Linked DNA regions of Nothobranchius furzeri. The protein of the gene in region 2 purifies or fractionates together with the protein of the main gene of each other region. This does not show direct contact. Links are inferred from orthologs where the notes say so. Each region holds a gene or a part of one and is shown on either strand. Other genes may lie near its edges.

What was found. Proteins that work in one complex are often made in the same cells at the same time.
Region 1: the proteins of ssb (region 2) and ro60 purify together in Homo sapiens (affinity purification with mass spectrometry; 3 studies listed by BioGRID and IntAct, with this or other methods). This does not show direct contact. The link is inferred for Nothobranchius furzeri from reciprocal best matches to the Homo sapiens genes SSB and RO60.

What each region holds. Positions count from the first base shown.
Region 1 is NC_091751.1:69,173,810-69,177,567, reverse strand, and holds the start of ro60 (RNA-binding protein RO60), read right to left. Parts: upstream 2,280-3,758; 5' UTR 2,185-2,279; exon of another isoform or gene 2,104-2,184; intron 2,084-2,103; exon of another isoform or gene 1,953-2,083; intron 1,468-1,952; exon of another isoform or gene 1,365-1,467; intron 1,273-1,364; exon of another isoform or gene 1,254-1,272; intron 944-1,253; exon of another isoform or gene 847-943; 5' UTR 774-846; intron 1-773. UniProt on the Homo sapiens protein: RNA-binding protein that binds to misfolded non-coding RNAs, pre-5S rRNA, and several small cytoplasmic RNA molecules known as Y RNAs.
Region 2 is NC_091754.1:20,313,237-20,316,994, reverse strand, and holds the start of ssb (lupus La protein), read right to left. Parts: upstream 2,732-3,758; 5' UTR 2,614-2,731; intron 1,573-2,613; 5' UTR 1,564-1,572; coding exon 1,504-1,563; intron 1-1,503. Other genes in the region: klhl23 (kelch-like protein 23), read right to left, coding at 3,662-3,758. UniProt on the Homo sapiens protein: Binds to the 3' poly(U) terminus of nascent RNA polymerase III transcripts, protecting them from exonuclease digestion and facilitating their folding and maturation.

The DNA of each region.
Region 1 (3,758 bases), on a different chromosome or scaffold from region 2:
TATAACAAATCTGTAGTTATTAACAGTAGCTTTGAAAGTAACATGGTCAAATACTTTTCAAGTATGTGTAGAAACAAGTTACACGAGTAATCCTGAGTACTCATTTATCAACTTAGAAAATAAATATGAGAACATCTCAAATTTATGAGAATGGAAAAAATGACATTCAAGTGCCCTCTTATCAGCAGATTCAATCATAAATCATCTCAATTTATGGGACCACAAAAGTAATTGGAGTACTGACTCTCCTAAGATCAAAAAGGTGCATCTCAAACCTGTAACATGCCAAATATTTGAGTTCTTGGAATCGATTCTGAATCTTTATAAATAAGAATCCCGATTCAGACTTGAATCGATTTTTTTCAGCACCTCTAGTAATCTTTATCTTACAGTGACACGAGGTACTCCTCAGTCCTTTTTAAACATTGGAGCAACTGCCTATACGGTTTCTAATTAGAATGTGTTTGTATTTTATTTTTATTTTTTTATTCTTGTTATGGACATATCTCTTGTCTGAAATAAAGTTTGATTGATTGATCAGTTGGCGATTCAACACGAAAGACTGTTTTTTATGGTTGTTTGAGAAAAATCAGAATAAACCAGAACCTGTATCAGCAAGTCTAGAGTCAGCCTAACCCTTGAAAGTCCTCATCCGAAGCAAAAATGGTTTTGCTTTGCAGGATGTATTCACATATAAAGGATGGCTTGCCAGGCTAGGTCAGAGCTGTACAAAAACCAGAATCAGTGTAGTCTCACAGAACCAGATCCTTTACCGCTAACGTGTCACGATGAGTGACTACACAGCTGCAGTCTGGATCCTGATCTCCAGTGACGTCGAGCCAAGTGCTACCAGGTGATGGAACAGAGAAGAAAGGTTGTTAGCAGCTTTGTGAAGGCCAGACGCTGGCCCAGAGGAGGTTACGGACGGCACCAGCCCAGTCCGACCTGGCCGCCACCTCAAGCAGACACAAATAGATTAAAGCCGGTTAGAAACACTTGATGATGCACAAACCACAGGACATGCTGGAGGTCTTTACCGAACTCAAGCAGCGACAGCCTAATCTGTTCTGCTAACTAGCAAGTGAAACTGGGCTAACGTTACCAGGACAGGTCTAACTAGACTAGTTAAACTAGCAGGAGACTAAGTTAGGGAACTACTGAAGATTTTAAACAAATCTCATGTGAAACACTAAATCCTTTACTGACTATTTGGTGTTTATTGGTAATCGACTACGAACTTGTCGGTAGCATACTTCCATTCTCCTTGGCACCTAACTAGGAAGGCATAAATCAGAGCCGGTGTTCCGACTATCCGTGCTCCCCGTCGGTGTGCTACTTTGGGGAAATGCGCATGCGCAGGCCGATTATTGCGTCACAGGCTGTTTACAAATAGAGACGCGCTACCTGTGGAAGTTTACGTTTAATCTCGTCACTTATCTAGTTACTTTCAACTCGTCGAAGGTCACAGTACGTATTTCTTTGAGTTGTTTTATTAAATTACTGCTTGCTGTATGTTTACCTGACAGTTAGCTTGTAAATGGCTTCTAAAATATCGTTATTATACTGTAAACAAGACACTTCTCCCATTGTTTACAGTCATTCTGAAAGAGTCCCACATTAATATCCAAAAGTTTTATGTTATACATATAACAATTTATCATAGTTGTATAATAATCTCCAAAATTATACATCCAAACAACTATAAGTATTGGGGGAAGAGCATATTTGTTCTATGTGGATTCATTTGTCTAATAAAGGATTAGATAGAGAAATAGAACGGTTAGAGCTAACGTCTTACAAATCTCCATTTTTATGAATCACTTTCTCGACATGGGTGAAAGTAGTTGGTAAATCGTCATTGTTCTGAGAATATTCAAATGTTTTTAGCAACTAAGGGGTTAATTTTTACGAAATGACTAAACTGCTTCTTACACTATCCACTTTTTTTACAGAATAAATTAACAGTAGCTACCGATTTTCAGTAACCCTGGACATACTGAATCAGCTGTTGAAACACGCTGCGGTAAGAAAATTCGACGAGGAAGCACGGATAGTGAGAACACCGGACTCCCGGAGCTAGTCGGTAAGATGCAACTAACTTACCCTGAAGAAAAAAATAGCTGGTTCATCAAAAAACACAAAGTCACAAAACATGCTGTTAAAACCGGATAAACACGCACTTACAGCAACATAAACAGTTACGGTTTCTGTGTTTTGAGCTTCAGGCCTCCTCCCCTCTGACCGTAACTGAGTAAATGGAACGGATACGCCAGAAAAGCGACACGCCCTCTGTTGGCCTGGCGGGGTATTGCTTTGCAACGCTCCCAGGTGACGGAGAAGTCTGAAGGCCATGCTGAACGCACGTCTCAGTTACTGTGTATGTACGGGGAGAAGAAAGTCTAAAAAGAACTGTATATATATATATATATATATATATATATATATATATATATATATATATATATATATATATATTGGAACTTTTTATTTTTGAATAAGACCCACCTTTTTAGCTTAGCTTTTCACTGATTACTAATTATCTAGTCTGTTTAACTGTATCACTTGTCATATTTGTTTATTTATACAGTATATATATATATATATATATATATATATATATATATATATATATATATATATATATATATATATATATATATATATATATCTTTTACTTAATTTTATTCTTTTATTTACATCATAGTGTTTTTACATGATTATGGTTTTTTACTACCTTTGTAATCACTTTTTATCAATTACTTTCTATCCATATTAGCTTTTTTATTTTACAGTTATACGTTTTAATCCTCCAGTGTTTCCTCTGCGGAGCCCTCTGCCTTGGGGCCGGTGGTCGGTGGTCGGTGGTCGGTGGCGGCAGCCAGGGCGCTCCTCGGGTAGTGCCCGGGCAGTGGTGGGGTCTCCGCCCTCGCTCCCTGGGCATCATGGGCCGGTGCCTTGGCTGCTGCCGTGGATCTGTTGCTGTCGAGGCAGATGGCTCCACTGATGATGTGTCGTCCATTACCTGACCCATCTGAACTCAGCCTACTGTTTACCCTGTTGCTCACGTGTGTGTGTGTGTGTGTGTGTGTGTGTGTGTGTGAGTGTGTGGGTGAGTGTACGTTCACCTTGGAAATTGGTTGCGGGAGGGGAAGTGTAATTGTCAATTGTTTAATACTTGGGGAGGGGGGCTGGGATGGGAATATGGGATCTATGGGGCCATTTTAATCTGTGAAGCACTTTGAGTTGCATTTTTTTGTATGAAAAGTGCTATATAAATAAAGTTGTTTTGATTTGATCAAAGAATTGATGAGTTGGAACAAAATGCTCGAGCCACTTATCACTGGGCTGGAAACCAAGCATCGCAGTTATGCAAGAGCTACAGCAAGAGATCAAGAAGGCGAGGATGCACCACCTGAAGAGCTACACACACTGGAGGAACAGGTTATTTATTTCTTCAGCATCAAGAAGAATAGCTTACACAGGGTGAACGCCTTGAAATAATGATATTTGAGTGATGTCGGGTGAACGCCTTAAAATAATGACATTTGGGTGATGTTGGGGTGAAAAACCCTAAAGTCAGGATATTTGGGTGATGTTGGGAAGAAAACCCCGAAATGATGATATGTGGGTAACTTGAAGGTAAAAAAATAATAAAACTAGAAGCAATCATATCCACGAAATAATAATAATAAAGGTTATTAATGTCAAAAACTTTCTGGTGCATAAAAAAGGACTCTGCCTGCTGAAGCAGCAGCAGG
Region 2 (3,758 bases):
TTTATCCCCATTGCTTTTGTTTATTTTAAATAATAATAATTATTCAGTACCATTACATTTCCATTCATTTTAATTAATATTTAGTTCAAACAAGCTGAACAAAGTGTCCCAGTAACATAAACAATGCAATTTAACAATTCCACTTAAATTAGGAACAATTCATCTGCTGCAGCCTGAACGCACTCTTCCTCTGCTCTGCGTAAACCTGAGCTGGTCACCTGCAGCTTGTGCGTACTCAAATGTCTCTACGGAATTCGCTGGAGAGGTTATGAGGTTCTGGGCTTTTGCCTCAGACTTATGGATGTTTAAACGTTGTTCTGGATGAATCTGCACTCCACTAACACACTCGAAGCAGGGGCAGAATAACGAGTGCCACTCGCCCAAAGTTTTAAAATCGGGAAAAATGTCTCCAAATGAAATAACCAGAAGTCTTCCAGACTCTCTGAGAAAGATAGAAGGGTTTCTACTTGACATTGCTCTCTTGTTCACATTGTCAAGTGTGTCGCAGACGCTCTCCGAGCTCCTCTTCCGCGTCAGCAGTTAAAGAGGCGGAGAAAGAGAGAGATGATGCTCAGATGCGCTGATGGACATCTCGTCATGATTGTTACCTCCGCGGTGTTCTCTGTGTGTAACGTGTAAAATATCTGTCATTAACAAACGTCATCATGGGCAAATAAATAAATGAACATATCGCCTCTTGTAAAAAAAAAAAAAACAATCGTAACGACTCAGCCCGTCGCTGACGGTCAATTAATTCGTCCCGTCGCCCAACCCTAATCGGGTGTGTTCCCACCTGATGCTAAGCGGTGCGTTTTGGAAGTGTCCAAGAAGCGTAGTATCACATCGCTCCACTAACTTTACATTGAGTTTTTTTTTCTCATGCACTACACTTCCAGGACGCACCAAGCCCAGCAGTTCAGATTGTAACGGACAGGAAGTCAAATGTAAACTTAAACATCCGTCAACTTTCAAAATAGAACATGTGCAGATTTGCAGTTGCTTAACTAGTAAGTAAGTAAGAAAGTAAGTAAATAAATAAGTAAATAAATAAATGCATATTACATATAAAGTCTCCATAGCTGAGGTACAACACAAAGAAAATAAACGAGGCCCTTTAGTACACATGCTGCTGTCTCTCTGCTTGTCACATGAACTGCCGAAATCATGCTTGATCTTGCAATTCTGTGGCAATTTTGTGACCTTGCAAGACGGGCAGCTTGGAACGCATAAAATAAAAAATCTGAAACACTTCCAGTGGTCAGAGACAAGCTGCTGAGCTCGCGAGGAAAACGTGTCTATTACATTATGTGCTGCTTACACATCTGGTGGAAAGCAGCAAATGGCAGAGTGACGCGAAAATACACTTCTGTCCAACATGTCCAAAAGCTTCACAGCCAGCTGAAACACACCCACTGACTGTAATGGCAAACTACGCTTCACAGATGTTAAGTGAAGATTACAGATCCAGCAGAGAGCCGATGACAGAAGTTTGATAGCAATTACCTCCAGTTGGCGTGCCACTTTCATCTCAATGGGGGTCATTTGATCTTGGTTTTCTGCCATGATTGTTTTCTGTAGGAAATGAAATTGCAAATAATTAGCAAACTCTAAAAATAAATTTCTTACATGTGGGCATGTGTCCCAGTTTTCAGAGGTACCATGGTACGAACGCTGATCATTAAATTTATTAATTTGAAATACTGGGAGACAAATTTAGATGAATTGCAATTTGACCTATTTAAAAAATCCATGTTTTATTTATAACCACTCATTGTTTTCATCACATAAACTGGTATGGTTTGTATAATCATATATCTGGCATGCAAGCCTCTCAATTGTTTCATTAGACATTTAAATGTTTAAAAACTAAATGGTGTAGACTGTTGCCTCTGCGATACATTAACCCCTTAAGGCCTAGGTCTATTTTGAAGACTATTCTTCGAAAAATGGTAAAAATGGTATTTAATGGTAAAAATAGTTTAGATAGCCATGTAGTGCTGGGTTTGCTGATTAATTTGATGGCAATTATTACTATTTCTTCTGTAGTGCGAGGGGTTTTTGGCCCTGTTAAGGAACTAACATCATGGGGTCCCCTAGGGCTTAATACATGTTTATATAAACTATTCCTGATTCAGAAACAGTGAATAAAAGCCACTGCCTACCTATTTCTACAATGAATCTAACGGAATTTACAAATTACCATAAATGTACAGATAATATTCGTTTTAAGAAAACTCCTGGAAGCTAATATAAATCTAATTTATTAATTTGTGTCACGCAGCTGTCTCACATCTAGTTACATTTCAGTTACCATGCGTCAGCTAAACCTGCTAGCTTGTCTCAGGAGTTGCAAACCGGCTACGGTTTATATATTAATTTAGAAGCAGAACCACCCAGAATCATGACCCGTATTGTAATAAACAAACAAAACGTGTTTTGTCACCGTAATGCACATTTTGGGGACACACATTGGGTCTGTAATGTTAACGTCGTCATGTGGTTGCGTTCAAACAGTAGCGTGCTGCTCAAACGTACTGTTAATCTACAACAACGTATTCCAAGTTAAATGAAAAACGCCATAAAACATTGTACTAACTCAAATGTTTTACTTACGTTATCACAGTTGTGATCAAACTGCACTTTCGGAACTTGAAACCGCAAAAGCTTGCCTTTCGTGCTGGCACGTTGTAGGACTGCGTGCTACGGAAACCATCGAGGGCCAAAAAGTGTCGAGGAGGTCGCAGTTTTACGGCAGTTCGATTCGTGCGTCGCAATCTGTGTCGTGCAGCTTGTGCCCAGCAGCTGTCGCTGCAATGCAACATTCCAACACAAATGTAGATTTTCTTCACTTTTTATTTTATTTTATTTTATTTTATTTTATTTTATTCAAAAATTTAAACTTATGTTCGTTTTCAAGCAAGAAAATAAATCTTCACTTGATCACAGAGATTTATGTTTTCTATTAAGATGTTTTTGTCTCACAAATTGTTTTGTAGAAACAACCAGCTTTTTATATTACTCCCCTCTAAAATATTCTTGTAGTTCAAAACAAAAGCTGCAATGATTACTATTTTTACACTCACAAACCATCTTGTGCATCTTCTTGTAAAGCAGCTGTAAATGCTTTGTTGCTGGAAGTTCATTCACATAAACTTATTTTTACAAACTTATTAGAAAAATTTAAGATCCCAAATACTCACATATCAATACATTTGAAGAGTTATAGAAATACAAGTGACTTTAAAAGTATTTTTTGGAAAGCAAACATCCCATTATCAGTGTTGTGATTTATTTTATGTGTTACTGACCAGTGACTTTTCAAATAAAAATGCTTTTAAAAGATTTATGAAACAGTTGTGCTTTATTTCATACTTCTCAAGAGATACCTGAGGATTAAGTGAAACACTGGATAACCATGTTGTTACAAAAAACTTCCACAATGAAAACTTGACATGGTTTGTGCATAAACCTTTGCAAAGTAGTGAATACTGTGAAATTATATATATATATACATACATATATATACAATATATACATATATATATATATATATATATATATATATATATATATATATATATATATATATATATATATATATATATATATATATATATATATATATATATATATATATATATATAAACACCTGTGATAAATGTCACTGGACCCCACGAACACAGACACATCCATGTGATCTGACCGGGCTGGGAAGAGTCCCCACAATCTCCCATGAGTCTAGCTCTGGGTCATATTTC